Callithrix jacchus: one gene and its partners. The protein of the gene in region 4 purifies or fractionates together with the protein of the main gene of each other region. This does not show direct contact. Links are inferred from orthologs where the notes say so. Each region holds a gene or a part of one and is shown on either strand. Other genes may lie near its edges. The genes, in order: MAP2K3, STUB1, ARRB1 and MAP3K5.

Region 1 (4,283 bases), on a different chromosome or scaffold from region 4:
GAAGACCAGCAGAGCTCCGGGCCTGAGGGCTGCACACACACAGAAAACTCCCCAGGCCGATGGCACGGAGGACGGAGGACGGGGCCGGGTACCTGCTGCATGGCAGGAAGCTCAAAGGTAAAGCTCCAGTAAGGTCAAGCGCCAGCCACTCCCTGCCGTGTTCAAATTCCTTTGAGAAGGTGGAGAAGGCTCTGTGCTGGGAGGCCCAGTGCCCAGGATGGGGCGGGCATGGGGCGAGGATCTCCACCTATTGGGGCAGGCCGGCCATCCTCCCTCCAAGCTCAGTTCTGCATCTGTCAAATGGGTCAGATTGCAGTGAATATGCCTCAGGCCCAGCGTGAAGCGCTGTGCACAGGAAAGGCAGCACCTCTGCTTCAGTCTGTCCTGGAGGTCTGACATGGCCATGAGGATAGGCCCACTGCACAGGCTGTGAGCAAGGCCAGGGGTGAGGGTGTCCCACCCACTCAGCTCAGGCATCTAGCATGGGAGCGGCACACAGGGGGTCACTGGGAAGACCTCTGTGGAGACACACAGTCCTGGGGGAACCCTAGTACACCTGTCACCTCTGTGTGGCCTCAGGCAAGGCACTTAATGCCTCTGGGCCTCAGTTTCCTTATCTGTAAATGGGGCTGTGAGGAATGAATGAGGAAATGCATGGCACATGGAAAAAAAGAAGGAGCTCACAGGGATTTTGGTGAGGGGCACTGTGGCTCTGCCACCACATACTTCTCCAGACCCCGAAGAGGCTATAGAGTGCCTGGGCCTGAGGGAGGTCCCTGACCCTCCATTCAGCCCACCCAACCTCATCTGGGACCTGGGTTCACATCTAGAAGTTCATCCTGGCCTTCTCACAGCGCTCCCACCACCTCTGTGACCCCTCTCCCTGCACAACTCTGCAACTGGAGCTTTTATTTTGCTGAGGCATTCCCTGCCTGGAGAGCTAAAAAAGCCTCCAAAACAAACAGTGCTTCTTACCCCTCCCCGAGCTCTCCAGAGTGGAGAAGTGTCTGATTTCCCGGTTCCCAAGCTCCACGAGGTCTGTGCAGTGAAGTCCCTCTTCAGATGCCTCCCCCGGCGAGTGCCTCCTGAGTTACTCACAGTGGTTGGGCAGTTGTCAGGGATCCAGCCTCCCACTTATGTAAGGCATAATTATTCTGCCCACCCGGCTCCAGCCACCACAGCAGCCAGCAGCAGGGGCCAGGAAGAGCCCATGCCCTCCCCAGACCCCCATAGGGCTTCCACTGGCATGCACCCTCCAGGGCAGGAGAGTGGTTGACCCCTGATGAGGGGGTGCCCGCTGCTACCTGCCTCCTGCTCACTCTGCAGTGGAGTCCCAGCAGCGGGGGCCTTTCCAGCAAGAATGAAAGCAACAGCGGGATGCATGCAGCCGGTGTCCCCTGGTGAGCACTGGCCCTCGCCAGGCTCTCTTTGAGTGAAAGAACGCCTCAGAGCTCATTAGCATTCACCACCCCACACCCCACTCCCGCGTCCACAGAAGCAGGTGTGATGACTTCCAATTTACAGAAAAGAAAACTGAGACCCAGAGACACCAGGGAGCTTGCTGGGGTGAGGCAGCCCATTCATTACAGCTATGTCCGGTTTGGAAATCTCTCACAACACAGCCTGCTGAAACTCCGACGCACCAAAAACATCCTCTCCTCTTCCTGAAAAAAAAAAATTCCCCTTCTGCCCTCCAAGTCTCGTCCTTCCCCCCTCCGCATGACAAATCCTGCTGCCGCCACCTCACAAAAATTTCCAGGAAAGCCAGCTACTTGGAGAAGAGCAAATCCCTTGCACAGCCAGCACCCTGGCCTGGCGGCTGGCCCAGATCCCAGGCAGCTGGGACGGGAACCAGATGGGGTGAGCGCCCCAAGTGCAGGGAGAAGCTTGCAACTCAGAGAGGAGTCGGTACAGAGGGGGCTGCACCTTACGGAGGGGTGAGAGGACAAGGGAGGTTCCTGGGGACACAGGACTGCAGGACGGGGTGGAGGTCAGCCAGGGAAGGGGTAACATAGGGCCTAAAGGAGAGGGAGAGTTGGGGGAGAGGAGGTCAGGCGGTTCTGAGCTGGGGTATAGCCAGAGCACCCACATAGGGGCTACAGTGAGGCCCGCAACAACAGGAGCACTCTGGGGCCCAGATGGAGACGCAAGCGATATCCCAGCCTAGATACAGCCCTGGGTCCCGAAACTGGACGTGGGACTGGGTGCTGACCAAGGATCCAGGTGGGGGCCAGTGTGAATCTCACCCGGGTCCCGCTGACGGAGAAGATTGGGAGAGTTCCTGTCTAGGCTGCAGCCATAAGGCCCAAATGAGGTCAGAGTGGGGCTCCTGACTTGGATGGGTGGGAACAAAGTCCTCGCCTGGGTTCAGCCTGGGTGATCTCGAGCCTGAGTGCAGTCCCAAGGCCTAACCTGGGGATCCAGGTGAGGTCCCAGGCTGGGGCCGGTCCTGGGAACCCAAACAGGAAGGGGTTCCGGGACAGGGCGCCGCTGCTAGGTCAAGGACAGGATAGGGTGGGACCACAGAACGGTCAGAGTTTGCAGCCCGACCCCAGACTGGGCCCGGGGTCAGGACAAGGTTCCGGCGGGGAGCGCCTACCTTTGGACTGGGGCATGCTGGCGGGCTGGCTCGAGGCTGGCGACTCCATGCTGCAGACCGGTCCGGGACGGCGGCGGGGACTAATCTAGAGGACAGCGGGCTCCACCGGGGCCGAGCACGCTCATGGCTGCGGGCAGATAGCCCGGGTCAGGCGGAGGAGCAGAGGCACGCGGCAGCGACTGCAGCGGGACGCGTCCGCAACTGGCGGCGCCAGAGCCAGACTGGGCAGCGCCCGGTGTACCCCGGCCGAACAGCGCTAACTTAGGCCCCACCCCTGCGTGCCGATTGGCCCTCCCGTTTCCAAGGCCTGTACCCCGCCTATCAGACGCCGGCTGTCCCTGCCTATCAAACATACGCCCAACCACCCCGTGGGCCCAAGATCCTGGTCCCTCTCGCTCTCTGTCAAGTCCGCCCGCCGCCCGAAAAAACAAGGCCCGGCCAGACTCCGCCCTCCTGATCTAAAGCCTCGCCCCTCGCGCTGCCCGTCAACACGCAAGCCCCGCCCACTCCCGGGACCCACTGAGCCCGCAACTCCCTGCTGGCGCCAGACCCCCCCCAGCACCCCCAGACCCCGCCCAGCACCTCCAGACCCGCAGCCCCGGCGGGTGCGCTGCGAGGGCGCGTTCTCCTGGGTGCTTGGTCTGGAAAAACCCCGAGATCCCCAAAGGTGGTGCGGCTGGGCCTGGCGAGGAGGCCGGGGGTTAAAAGCAAGCTGCTGGGTTGAGACCGGGTTTCAGATACGAGTCGGCAACTTTGCAGCGGGACTGGCCTCGGGCAGGTCGTGACACCTGAGCCTCAGTCTAAGCCTCTGTGAGCGGGCGGCGGTGACAGCCACCTCCCGGCGCTGCTCGCTAACACGCACGGAGAGCCCCGCGCCAACAAACGTTCACTTGAGCCCGGGCACCAGGCGCCAGTCCAGGGCGTGGAGTCGGTGGTGAGCTCAGCGATGCCCGGTGACAAGGCAGCACGAGGAGCTTTCGTGGCTGGTTACTGTTGCCCCTGTTCTACACAGGGGGAAACTGTGTCTCAGAAGGAGTGAGGTGGCATGCGGTGCATTTTATCCCGCGAGCCCCAGGCCCCATCCCGGCTCTCTCCTGGGCCTTGGTTCTCTCCACTCCTGCTAAGACCTCAGTCTGCTCATCTGCATAATGGGTGGATGGGCCAGTCCTCCCTCTGCTCCCACACAGAACCTGGGGGAATTTCAGGAACCGCTGACCAATCTGGTGCTGGGATCAGGTGACTCTGGATGTAAATCCAGGGCTAGTGAGGGCAGAATGTGCCAGGCAAAGGGCAATGGGTCAGCCCCTGGCCTCCAGGCAGACATGAGTGTGTACCCTGTCAGGGACCTCACGTGAGGGAAGCAGATTCCACCACCTGCCAGAACGCTTGAGGCCAGGGCTGACCTCTGCTTGCCCAGGTGTAAAGTGGGGGTGATGCAGGCCCCGTGCACACAGCGGCGGGGAGGGCCACGTGAGATAAGAGGGAAGCCTTGGAGTCATCACCTTTCTCTTCCTGCATCTCCTGTTTACCCTTCCCAGGTCATGGGGTGGAAATCATGAGCCTGGGGCTCAGACCCGTACAAACTCCAACACCAGCTCCCCCACTTACTAGCTGGGTGACCTTGGAGAAGTCACTGAGAAGCTCTGTCCCTCAGTTTATCTATCCCATGGGGACAGTAAGGACT
Region 2 (4,264 bases), on a different chromosome or scaffold from region 4:
GGTCACTAGGTGCTCGTAACCCCACAGGAGCCGGCTCGGGGGTGCCCTTCCACTGGCACGGGCCTGGGTACTCGGAGGTGATCTACGGCCGTAAGGTCAGCCCAGGGTGGGTGTCGGGGCTTGGGTGGATGACCCAAGTGGGCAAGGGTGACGCTGCTGCCCCTGCCCACAGCGCTGGTTCCTCTACCCACCTGAGAAGACGCCAGAGTTCCACCCCAACAAGACCACGCTGGCCTGGCTCCGGGACACATACCCAGCCCTGCCGCCGTCTGCACGGCCCCTGGAGTGTACCATCCAGGCTGGTGAGGTCAGTGGCTGGCAGGAGGGACCGGGCCAGGTCAGAGGCCCGCAGCTGATCTCGGCTGCACCCCCTTCCTTCACCAGGTGCTGTACTTCCCCGACCGCTGGTGGCACGCCACACTCAACCTTGACACCAGCGTCTTCATCTCTACCTTCCTTGGCTAGCCGTGGCAGCCGGCAGGCACTCCTGTCACACAGAGCACTTCTTCCCCAGCTTGTGCTCACGGATTTTATTACACAGACGGTGGCCGCAGCCCAGCCCACCCTCACCTGCTTTTCCAGCCCAGAATGGGGGACGGGGAGGATCACAGCCCAGCAAGAGCTATGCTGAGAGGGGAGCCGTCCAGAGCCCAACAGCAGAACTGGGGGGAAGGGAAAGGGTGGCCAGGGACACAAGCTATGTACAGGGGCTGGGGGCTTCTGCCCGTGGCCCTCCGGGGCCAGGACACTGGGCAGGGCGAGGAGCTCAGTAGTCCTCCACCCAGCCGTTCTCAGAGATGAATGCATCAATGACCTCCTTCATAGCCAGGTTGGGAATGAGCTGTTCCTGCGTCAGGGGGCTCCGGGTCACAGGGTCAAAATGGCCTACACGCTGCAGTGACAAGAGGCAGAGGCTGCTCAGCAAGCCTAGGACCCTGCTGCTGGCCCTGCCCACCCCCTGGCCCCAGCCTCACCTGCAGGTGCTCCTCGATGTCCTTGCGGTCGTAAGTGATGCCACTGGGTGTGATGCACGGCTCCCGCATCAGCTCAAAGCTGATCTTGCCACACAGGTAGTCAGGGATGTCGCGCTTCTGTGGCACATGGGCACAGGGTCAGAGGCTGGGAAGGGGCTGCTCCAGGACCTACCACCCACAGCAGCACTCACCTTCCTCTTCTCATCCACCTGAGAGAAGAGCTCATCCATGTCCGCCATGTATCTGTCCTGTGGAAAGTTGAGCAGTGCTTGGGAGGGACACCCCACTTCCCTCCTCCGTGGTACCCAGACCCAACACGAGGCAGGGACACACAGACCCACAGCAGGGTGGGGACGCTCCCGTGCCACGTGTGCACACACACAGACCCACATGTGGATGGGGGCACCCTCACGTGCTTGGCCTCAATGCAGGCCTGCTGGGCCCGGACGTGACTGTCGTCCTCGTCACCCTCGTGGTTCTGCTGGCACTCTTTCAGCTCCCTGGGGGATGACCAGGAGCCCGTCAGAGACGGACCTGGCCAGAAGATGTCTGACCACACCCCAGACTCAGGGCTAACATCCAGGCTTCTTCCCCACATGCACTGCTCGCCAGTAAAACTTTCAGTAAACATTCGTGTTGGCGGTTGGTTATTCAGAATTATCCCCAGACAGCGCGGCCTGGGGTAAGGGTCCCACCTCTCACGCTCCGCCGCAATGAGCCTCGAAAGGTAGGAGTGCAGCTCACTCTCCTGGTGGATGCGCCGCTCCTCGATGCTGTTCCAGCGCTTCTTCTTCGCGATTCGCAGAGCGCTGGGGATGTCGTCCCCAAAGTTCAGTCGCTGCTCCTTGGCCAGGCTGTAGGCTGGGGAACAAGGGCTTCCGGTCACGCTGGCCAGTCCAACCGCCTGGTCCCAGGGGCCCCGCACCCAGGCAGCTTGTCGGCCAACCTCGCTGCAAATTGGCGATGGCCTCATCATAGCTCTCCATCTCCAGCTGGCACTGCCCCAAGAAGAAGTGCGCCTTCACAGACTGCCCGTCCAGCTCCAGGGCGCGCCGGCAGTCGGCCAGGGCCTGCTCATGCTGCTGCATCTTCAGGTAGCACAGGGCCCGGTTGGTATAATACACGGCCACCAGCGGGTTCCGGGTCTAGGGACCAAGGCCGGGCCAGCCGCATCAGGCGTAGGCTCAGCGCGCCCCCTCTGTCCCAGGGCCCGTCCCAGCTTCTGCGATCTGGCTACGATCAAGAACCTAGACCTCTCAGTAGCCAAAGCCTCTGGGTCCAAGGATCTGCAGACACGGGACTACTGGCTGAGCCTACACACCTCACTCCGGTTGGTTCTGTAGAGTTTTCCAAATCTTTGGAGAGTCCCAGCTTTGGACCCTGGCCTCCCACCCACCCGGCCGGCCTCCATCTAGCATCCCACCCTCGTTCCCCGGCACCTGGCGCTGGGATCGAGAACCAATGCTGGGCTTTCGGAGCCCAGGATACCCGCCGCGGAGGAGCCAGACCCTCGGCGGGGCCGGCCGATCGCGGGCGTGGCCCTCCGACTCGCCGTCGCCGCCTTCCCCACGCGGGCGCACTCACGATCGCGCGGCCGTAGCAGGCCGCCGCCTCCGGGTACTTTCGGCCCACAAACAGACGGTTGCCCTGTTCCTTGAGCTCCTGCGCGCTCGGGCTCTTCTCCGGGCTTCCGCCGCCAGCGCCCAGCCGCGCGCCGCCCTCCTTCTCCTCCTTGCCCTTCATGGCGCCGAGCGGCACGGCCTGGGCTGCGCTCCCAAGCTCCGCGCCTGACGGCCCTGCACCCGAAGCCCGAGCCCGAGCCCTGCAGCCCGAGCCCACGATCAGCTCGGGCCCGGCCCAGCTCCGCCGCCGGAACTTCCGGCCGGGGGCGGGATCGGCGGGGACGCAGGCGTCGGGGGGCGGGTAGGGCCGCGCGTGCGCCCAACCAGCCTGGGCGGGGACAGTCGGCCCGCGACGTAGCTGGCTGCGAGGAACGCTCCGGTTCCCTGGCCCCGCGTTTTTCAGGGTCGGCATTCGCGGAGGCCAGCCCCGCCCCGCCCCGCCGAGGCCTCTCCAGAACTGGCCTCGGTGGCGGCCGTCCCATATATCCGGTTTTCTCCGTGAGGTGCCTCAGCCTTGGTTCGCTGAGGGCGTGCTTCCCTAAAAGCCTGTCCCGCCCACGTGGGATTCCGCCCCTGCCCCAACCCGTAAAGACCCCATCTGCAGAGGTCCCGCCCCCAGCAGCCCGCCCCGCCCCCAACAACAGGCCGCATCTGCGGCGGTCCCGCCCCCGGCACCCGCCCCCACTCCCAGCACCTGGCCCATCGGCAGAGGCCCCGCCCCCGCAGCCACCCCCATCGGCGGAGGCCCCGCCCCCAGCACCCGGCCACGCCCCCATCAGTCAGCCCCGTCTGCAGAGGTTCCGCCCCTGGCAGCCGGCCCCGCCCTCGGGGGGGGGTCGACTCCGTTTGCAGAGGTCCCGCCCCCAGCAGCCGGCCCCTTCCGCAGAGGCTCCGCCCCTGAGAGCCGACCCCTCCCCTCCACGTAACATGGCGGCCTCCCACGCGCTCTGGGGCTGTGGGGACCCCAGCGGCTTGCTGGGCTGCCATCCTGGAATGCCACCGAAAGGTGCTACGAGCGCGCGCGGGCCCCCGAGAGCGGCTGGAAGCCGTGGACCGTTGGTAGACTGGTAAGAGATAAAGGGATCCGTGGGGCGAGTGTCCCCGTGGCCGGACCTCCCCTCACCCCCTTTTCCAGGTAACGGGAGGAGTTGCTGGCGGCCATCAAGGGCCGAGCGGAGAAGCACGTGACGCGAAGGGAGCTGGAACGGCTGTTAGTCTAGAGGCTGCCGGTGGGGTGCGGCCCCGCCTCCTCGTGTGCGGGGCCTCCGTAGGGCGGGTCTTCAGGGAGTGGCGTCGGTGGGGCGGTGCTTCCTCGTGGGCGGGGCCTCCTAGGGGCGTGTCTTCGTGGGGGCGGGGCTTTGTCGTGGGGCGGGGTTCCTGGAGGGTCCACCACTCCAGGCATCCTGACCTGGCCTCCCACAGAGAGGCCGCTTTTGGCCATGTCTTCAGCAGCCTGTGGCCACCAATCCCCTGAGCTGGTTGTGCACCGCTTGACCTCCGCCTTCTGACTCCTGCCAGAGTCGGGGGCCGCAGTCATAAAGTTGTGTGCCCTCCGCGGTGTGGGCCCACCACAGGTGAGTCGGGTGTGCACGACCTGGGTGCACAGGCATCCTTGTCTGTGAAGCCGGCAGTCTGGGCCCTTGCATGTTCCTGGGAGCAGGAGCAGGG
Region 3 (3,557 bases), on a different chromosome or scaffold from region 4:
CTTGGAGGGGCACCCCATGTTGGGTCTAACTCAGCTCACCACCCTGGTCTTTCCTCAGGGATACCCCATCTGACTGAAGGCATTGGGTCAGAAGCTGCCACCTCTTGCAGGAAGCCTTCCCAGGTTGCCCTTCCCCGGACTTGGTAACAGAGCCCAGTACTGCCTGAGTGAGCTGGCCTACTGGTCCATCTTAGTCCCTCGGTCACCCCTGGATAGGGATGGGAGTAAGGAGGTAGCTTCCCTGATAAGTCAAGCACCTGAGGACAGGCCCTGGACAAGGCTGGGGAGAGGGTAGCCTGAGCCTTGTCTTTGAACTGGAGGGACCAAGGAGGGTGAAAAGCAACGTGCACCAGGAGCCCAGGGCTAGGCGGGCAGGTCCTCACAGGGTGCTAGAGGCCAAGTTCGTGTCTTCATGCTTGAGCTTCCCATCCAGGGCAAGGCCCCGCTTCTCACGGTTGTTGGCCAGGAAGGGGGTCAGTGTGTAGACCTTGCAGAACGTTGAGCTGGGTGCCACAGTGTCGCTGGGAAGAAAGGAAGCAGCTGTGGAGTTGGCCCTCCCCAGAGCCAACCCCAGCCCTGCTCTCCAGCCCAGCAGAATGTCTAGTCTGGCCCTGCTCCAAGCCTCCCTCTCCTGACTTCTATCCCCCACAGATACAGGGACCACTTGGGCCAGCCCAGCTCCGGAGACCACTGCGACTCAAAAAAGGCACATCCACATTCTATGCACAAACAGGACTGGATCTGGGATATTCTAAGAGATTATCATAGTCAAGCAGCACAGTGCTAAAAAGCACATTTAGTTAAAAAATGACAGCCACAGCAGGCACAGTTGCTCACACCTATAATCCCAGCAATTTGAGAGGCTGACAGGAGGATCACTTGAGGCCAGAAGTTTGAGACCAGCCCGGGCAACAGAGCAAGTCTCCATCTCTACAAAACATGTTAAACATTAGCCTGGTATGGTGGTGCACACCTACTTGAGAGGCTGAGGCAGAAGGATCACTTGAGCCCAAGAGTTCGAGGCTGGCTGTAGTGAGCCAAGATCGCACCACTGTACTCCAGCCTGGGCAACAGAGCAAAACTCTATCTCTAAACAAATTTTATTTTATTTTTTGAGGCAGTCTTGCTCTGTGATCCAGGCTGAAGTACAGTGGTGCGATCTTGGCTCACTGCAACCTCTACTTCCTGGGTTCAAGAGATTCTCCTACCTCAGCCTCCCAAGTAGCTGGGATTACAGGCGCGCACCACAACGCCCAGCTATTTTTTTTATTTTTAGTAGAGATGGGGTTTTACCATCTTGACCAGGATGGTCTCAAACTCTTGACCTCAAGTAATCTGCCCACCTCAGCCTCCCAAAGTGCTGGGATTACAGGTGTGAGCCATTGCACCTGGCCCTGTCTGTAAACAAATTTAAAAAAAAATTATAGCGACACATAAACCATAAATGAAACTATTTGGGCACCCACATACCCACCATCTAGGCTCAACAATTAAAACTCCACTTGCTTTATCGCATCCATCATGTATAGTGTGTTTTGATTGTCCAGTTTTTGCTTGCTTTTGCTCTATCCCCCATCCTTTCCAAAGAGAGAGCTGACATGCAGCAGATAGCGAGCAAGCCGTGGAGTCAGACAACCTGTGCACCAGCCCCAGCTTCGCTGCTTGCTAGCTTACAAGTCACATCTCTCTAGCCACTTCCTCCTCAACACACTGGGGCAGCAGCAACCCCAGCCCCATGGGCTTCCTGAGAAGTAAACAAGCCTATGAGTGCAAAGGCCTACCCAGCCACCCCTGCTGGGATCTGTTACGCAGACCCTGGCACCATCTGCGGGGGTGGGATGTTCTACCCTTCAGGGATTATATGTTACTCTGTTCTAGATCACTTCACTTTACCATCTGGAATCTATGCTTCATGGCTCTGATTTTTTTAAAAAAAGAACAAGAGGCTGGGCGTGGTAGCTCACACCTGTAATCCCAGCACTCCGGGAGGCCGAGGTGGGCAGATCACGAGGTCAAGAGATTGAGACCATCCTGGTCAACATGGTGAAACCCCGTTTCTACTAAAGATACAAAAGAAATTAGCTGGGCATGGTGGCGTGCGCCAGTAGTCCCAGCTACTCAGGAGGCTGAGGCAGGAGAATTGCTTGAACCCAGGAGGCGGAGGTTGCAGTGAGCCAAGGTCCCACCACTGCACTCCAGCCTGGCACCTGGTGACAGAGTGAGACTCTGTCTCAAAATATAAATAAGTAAATAAATAAAAATAAAAAAGAACAACAGTGAATATCAAAAATATCCAGTAACCAGAGAATGCTTGATCTCAACATAGCATGTTCACCTACAGGACATTAAAAACTGTCTCCAAGGCCATCTAGTAATTTTTTAAATGTTTGAAGTTGCAAAAAATACTGATTGGAATTATATATAAACAAATACACATACACAGTAAAATTACATCAGGTGTAATTGCCCCAAGAAATTACTTGTAGGGCCAGGAAAAAGACTGTGTGTGTCTTTAAATGGGAGCATTTATTTCCTTTAGGTAAGTAAAGATGTTTCACTTGAGATCTCTCCTCTTGCCTTAACTGCCAACAAGCTTGGGACAAAATTCAGTCCACACTCAACCATAGTAGTTCTCCTCAAACCTAGATTTTTTTTTTTAATGTCTGTGTATAATTAGTCTCTACACTCCCACACACAACCCCTTTACCCAGTGAGCTGGATTACCCTTTATTAGACTGTGCACCTAGTGCCTTACCTACTTTGCCCTGGCTACCAGGAAGCTCAGAACAAAGTATTTCCCTTCAACCTAGGTTTCTTGTACAATGTAATTATTTTCTTTCCCCAATCCCAATCCCCTTACATTCATTAGCTCTTGTTTTGTCATTCTAGTTTTAGTGGGTCTCTTCCTTGATTGTACCTTGCATTTTCTTGTAGCTAAATCAGGTAGATGGTTTCTAAAAGGCTCTTTGGGATCATCTACTCTGAGTGGCAAGGAATTCTGAGGCCCAGCCCTCTGCCAGGTGAAGAAGAGACACCTGGACCTGTAACAGGATACCTAGAGCTTTTTCCCGCCCAATCCCACATGCCCAAGGCCAGATGTGTGCTCACTTACTCAGCCTCTTCCATGGCAACAGGGCACTTGTACTGAGCTGTGTTGAAAAGGCAGATGTCTGCATACTGGCGCACTGGGGAGGGAGAGGAATGAGGTTGAGCGAGTCTGGAATGCAGCTCCCATGGAGTCTCTCAGGCTTCCTGGGGTTGGGGATATTCAGCCCCAGGCAATGGCCACAGGCCACCAGTAGGGACTTCTGCCTGAGACTACCTCTGTCTTCCATCCAAAGGGTAGCCCCAAAACACACAAATTTCCTTCCATAACCAAAGCCTTCTCCTCAAGTACAGCTTTGCCCAGAACCCAAGAAACTGAAGAGAAGAGGTGGCTTAAAGAATGAACTCATTACCTGGCCAATAAACAGCCTCCCTGACTCGCCTCAAAAGTGGGGCCCTGTGGCTCAGGGCAGGCCCTTGTATTTATTATACAAGGCTGTTGACAAGGCAGA
Region 4 (4,224 bases):
GTTAGGGCTCTCTGGGTTTTCCCACCTAAGAAGGTAAGTACTTCCTTCACAGGCTTGTTTGGAGGATTCAATGAAATACACTCAAACTGTCAGTTTCCTTGTAATCATTCTCACTCCCTTTCCCAGAGGCAGTGTTTGGAGAGTAACAGAAAGAAAGCATTGTTAGGAAACTTTCTTTCAAATTAACTTAGAGTTTAAGATTTTTTTTCTGGAGTCCTAGAAAAAAACACCCAATCAGTGCAATAAAAATAGGCTCAAGTGTTCAGTTGGGTATTTTCCTCTCATATCTTAGTTCTTTGAAGCTTCTTCCAAATTATAATCCAAAAATAAGAGTGCCATAATTTTTAGAAAAGTTATGTTGATGTAACTTTTATAGCAAGCTACCCAAAGAATCAAGCTATAATATATTATATCCATGCTTAGTTACGAAGACCAAAACTATTTTTAAAATACCAGAACCAGAAAGTCCTAGTTTATTTAGTCTGGCTTCTTTAACATGAAGTTCTTGTTGTTCTTAAAATATTCAGCTTTGGCTGAATTCCAAGACTGACATAAGCCTACTTCAGGTGCTTGGAAGGGGCTGAAGAGAATCAGAACTGAAAACAAAAATGGAAAATAAAGCTTTTTATGTGATCACAAATGCAAGAAGTGTATTGTTTTGAAACCAATGAACCAGGTTTTTACCCACAAATTAAACATAAACATGTATATATTCTCAACACAGGATATACAGGGGGCTAAAGGTTAATTTCCATAACATGGTATTAGTCCTAACATTTGTTAACAGGCAGCTAATTGCTTCAGTTACTAGAACTGCCTTAACATTTTCTGAAATCTGAGATAGGTTGAAAAGATACATTTCTTTCATGGATTATGCTAGTAATCACTTTAATGGCCAAACTAATGTTGTTATTAGGATAGCATATGGTTGTTTTAGACAATGTTAAATAATAAACTTTCTAGCCCACCATGTATGGGGCAATAAAAAAAAAAAAAAAGACCCTGGTTCTCTTACCAAAATCCTTACAAAGATACCACACAAGTTCAGTGTAAGTTGTGATGTTATTACCTTTGGAAGCACTGTAATTACTTGGAAGTCCGGGTTAGTGAGATATGAGAAATTCAAGCGACTAAAACTTATTGAAGGTAAGATGAGTTGGGAAGATCGCAACATGGCATGTAAATTAATATAGTTACACTCTGCGTGCAGCTGGCTGTGTGGCATGTCATCGTTCCTGTACTCTCAAAATTACACAGAGAAAAAGAGAACCTCATGTAAAGCCGTCACAGGTATCTGCAGAAGGAAAACAGCGATCCAACCTAACAGAAGTGAAACCGAGATCCTGAATGGAGAAGGAATGACTGGGGCAAACATCTCCCACTGCTGGAAGACAGTTCTTCAGGTTTATCTCAAGGACCCAGGGCTCCGGCTCTGGGCGGTGGGTGGATCCATGGGTCTGTCGCACAAATACACACAGACTCTTACACAAGCACACACGCTCTCCCCGGAGGGGCGAGTGACAGGAGCAGTCACGCAGTGGCGGTCGCTGTCCCCAAAGTGGGGCAAGAAATAAATGCTTCCCGGCCAGAAAAATAAAATGCCCCAAAGACCGACAGGTTAAACATGGGTCCCGACCGCGCGGGATGGAAAAGGGGTCACACACGCACCTGCATTGTAAAAGCGGTCCAGAACCGTGGTTTCTCCAAAGTCGAGTTTCCCAAAATGCAGGGTCTCCAAGGTGGCGCCAACTGCCTCGCACGCCTCCCGCAGGCTCTGCAGGGCCTCGCTCTCGGCCACCACCAGTTGCCCCTGGCTCGCTTCGTTGATCACATATGCCACCGTGGTCCGTCGGCTGCCTCCACCACCAGAGCTGCCCCGGCACCGGGTGGCACTGCTCGCGGAGGAGGCCGCGGGACACCCTATGCCAGGGGCAGCGGCGCTCTCCACGTTCCAGAAGCTGCCCGGCGGCGGTGGCAGCTGGTGCTCCTCGCTCTCGCCTACCGCCGCCGCTCCTCCCCTCCTGCAGATGCCGCCCTCGGGGATGGTGCAGAACCCCGAGGGGGCGAAGGGTGGCACGGAGAAAGTGATGCCCTCGCCCGCCTCCGTGCTCATCTCTCCTGACCGGGATGCAGCGGCGGCGGCGTCCCCTGCCCAGCCGCACCGCCTGGCCAGCCACAGCTCTGGGCTGCTCCGCGCCCGCCGGGCTAAGCAGCTGCCATCGCGCGCCGCGCCCTCGCCGCCGCGCCGCCGCCTCCTCTCCGGCGCCCTCTCCCCCGAGGGCACGCCGCTGCCCGGCGGCGGCTCGCTCCTCCTCGGCGCCTCCGTGGCCGCGCCGCTCGCCGGCTGCAGGGTTTAGAGTACAAGGGGTGGGGAAGCCGGGTGAGCGGGAAGGGACGGAGCTTCCTTTTCTTGGCCGGCTGACAAGTCGGCTCGCAAACCTGCGCCGCGGTGCAGCTCAAGGGCGCCGCGCTCGGGGTGCAGCCCGCCCTCGCCACCCGCCGCGCAGCGCCGCGCAGCTCCTTCCGTCCCGGCCGCTCTGGGAGGGGCCAGGAAGGGCGCCCCCTGGGTGCGGAGCTACCTGGTGCGCACCTTACGGGCGGGCGGGCTCCCACGGCGGCGTCCCGGAACAGCAGCAGCAGCCGAAGGGACCCGCCTCCCTCCTCGGCGGCAGCTCCCCTTCATCGGCTGGATTTCCTCCTCCTCGCCCTGCCTTGCTTCTCTTCGGATCGCCTCCGCCGCGTCGTCCCCGCGCCAGTCTTGTGGCTTCTCGCAGCCGCTCGCCCTCTCCTCCACCAGCTTCTGGCCACCCACTCGACGCGGCCCCGAGAGTCAGGGCCCGCCCCCGGTGAGCGAGTTGCTAGGAAGCTCGAGCCCGGACGGAACCGACCGCGCCGCGGCCCCCGGACCCCAGCCCTTCTCTGAGTGCCCCGCGTGGCGTAGCGTCCCCGTCCTCACCCACCCGGCCCCCACCTAAGAAGACTTGGAGCGCAAGCGATTACTGGGTGGCGCAAAAGTCTCTCCAGCCAATACTCGGTCCTCGGAGTCCGCCCCCGAGGCATTTCCAGTGTTCCCCGCGGCGAGGGCGCCCCCCTCCGGCCCTTGGCGGCGTCGTGGACTGGGACCGTGCGCGGCGCTGGCAGGACAGGCTCGGGGAGGCCCACGTTGCGCGAGGCAGGAGGTGGCAAATAGCGCCCTAGAGCCAGGGCCTACACTGGAGGGTTGTTCATTAGTGGCTGTGGCACTCCAGAAGTGGCAGGCTAAGTTGATCAGGTCGTCCCATGTACTTTTCCTTTTTTAAAATTTCCAGTGGCTCCTGCCGTTATCAGTAATGGGTAGGTAATTGATTAGTGCCAACTGCTGAAGGGTTTAGCATTCTCATGTAGGATCTTAATTCCCCTTCAAGTGCCAGATACTTAAGATAGATAGAAGACGGAGTCTATACCCAACTCCACAGATTATCAGCAAGATGAAACAGGGGAATTACGTGACTTATTCTATTTTTAAACTGCACCAAGCTGGGCAGGGAGGGGAGTACCCAGATTGTTTAAGAGCGATCAAAAAGTACCTACTTATCTGGGGAGGAAAGAATAGATTTGTAAGTTCTCAGAGAACCCCAGAATGCTATAATTGTTAAGAAAGCCAGCGCAAGTTACAATTGAGAAACAGGTTTTGTACTTCCAGTCTCCAGGAACTGAGACTAATGAGTCCTGTGAAAAAGGGAGAAGAAAGTGTGAATGACAGTTTTTTGTGGATTTTGTTTTGGTTTTGGTTTTGTACTTGTTTTTTGTTTTTTTAAGTCGGAGTTTTGCTTTTTTTTTTTTTTTTTTTGAGACAGAGTTTCACTCTTGTTACCCAGGCTGGAGTGCAATGGCGCAATCTCGGCTCACTACAACCCCCGCCTCCTGGGTTCAAGCGATTCTCCTGCCTCAGCCTCCTGAGTAGCTGGGATTTCAGGCGTCCACCACCATGCCTAGTTAATTTTTTGTATCTTTAGCAGAAATGGGGTTTCATCATGTTGGCCAGGCTGATCTCAAACTCCTAACCTCATGATCCACCCACCTTGACCTCCCAAAGTGCTGGGATTACAGGCATGAGCCACTGACTTTGCTGGCTTTTTTTTTTTTTTTTTTTTTAATGTATTAACTTTAGATATGTTTCTGATGTTAGGAACCCAAACCCCAATACAATGCTGAAATGCTGCTTCTGGCTGGTCCTGAGACTCT

Evidence for each region.
Region 1: the proteins of MAP3K5 (region 4) and MAP2K3 purify together in Homo sapiens (co-immunoprecipitation; 4 studies listed by BioGRID and IntAct, with this or other methods). This does not show direct contact. The link is inferred for Callithrix jacchus from reciprocal best matches to the Homo sapiens genes MAP3K5 and MAP2K3.
Region 2: the proteins of MAP3K5 (region 4) and STUB1 purify together in Homo sapiens (affinity purification with western blotting; 3 studies listed by BioGRID). This does not show direct contact. The link is inferred for Callithrix jacchus from reciprocal best matches to the Homo sapiens genes MAP3K5 and STUB1.
Region 3: the proteins of MAP3K5 (region 4) and ARRB1 purify together in Homo sapiens (affinity purification with western blotting; 3 studies listed by BioGRID and IntAct, with this or other methods). This does not show direct contact. The link is inferred for Callithrix jacchus from reciprocal best matches to the Homo sapiens genes MAP3K5 and ARRB1.

What each region holds. Positions count from the first base shown.
Region 1 is NC_133506.1:64,703,697-64,707,979, forward strand, and holds the start of MAP2K3 (dual specificity mitogen-activated protein kinase kinase 3), read right to left. Parts: upstream 2,823-4,283; 5' UTR 2,649-2,822; coding exon 2,600-2,648; exon of another isoform or gene 976-2,599; intron 294-975; exon of another isoform or gene 93-293; intron 1-92. UniProt on the Homo sapiens protein: Dual specificity kinase. Is activated by cytokines and environmental stress in vivo. Catalyzes the concomitant phosphorylation of a threonine and a tyrosine residue in the MAP kinase p38.
Region 2 is NC_133513.1:2,940,162-2,944,425, reverse strand, and holds STUB1 (E3 ubiquitin-protein ligase CHIP), read right to left. Parts: upstream 2,840-4,264; 5' UTR 2,718-2,839; coding exon 2,559-2,717; exon of another isoform or gene 2,414-2,558; intron 2,120-2,413; coding exon 1,921-2,119; intron 1,836-1,920; coding exon 1,670-1,835; intron 1,603-1,669; exon of another isoform or gene 1,475-1,602; coding exon 1,387-1,474; exon of another isoform or gene 1,223-1,386; coding exon 1,166-1,222; exon of another isoform or gene 1,092-1,165; coding exon 975-1,091; exon of another isoform or gene 915-974; coding exon of another isoform or gene 893-914; coding exon 767-892; 3' UTR 516-766; downstream 1-515. Other genes in the region: JMJD8 (jmjC domain-containing protein 8), read left to right, coding at 28-95, 173-307, 385-465. UniProt on the Homo sapiens protein: E3 ubiquitin-protein ligase which targets misfolded chaperone substrates towards proteasomal degradation.
Region 3 is NC_133511.1:65,678,876-65,682,432, reverse strand, and holds part of ARRB1 (beta-arrestin-1), read right to left. Parts: intron 3,186-3,557; coding exon 3,113-3,185; intron 522-3,112; coding exon 384-521; intron 1-383. UniProt on the Homo sapiens protein: Functions in regulating agonist-mediated G-protein coupled receptor (GPCR) signaling by mediating both receptor desensitization and resensitization processes.
Region 4 is NC_133505.1:143,588,210-143,592,433, forward strand, and holds the start of MAP3K5 (mitogen-activated protein kinase kinase kinase 5), read right to left. Parts: upstream 2,803-4,224; 5' UTR 2,684-2,802; coding exon 2,591-2,683; intron 2,345-2,590; coding exon 1,669-2,344; intron 1-1,668. UniProt on the Homo sapiens protein: Serine/threonine kinase which acts as an essential component of the MAP kinase signal transduction pathway. Plays an important role in the cascades of cellular responses evoked by changes in the environment.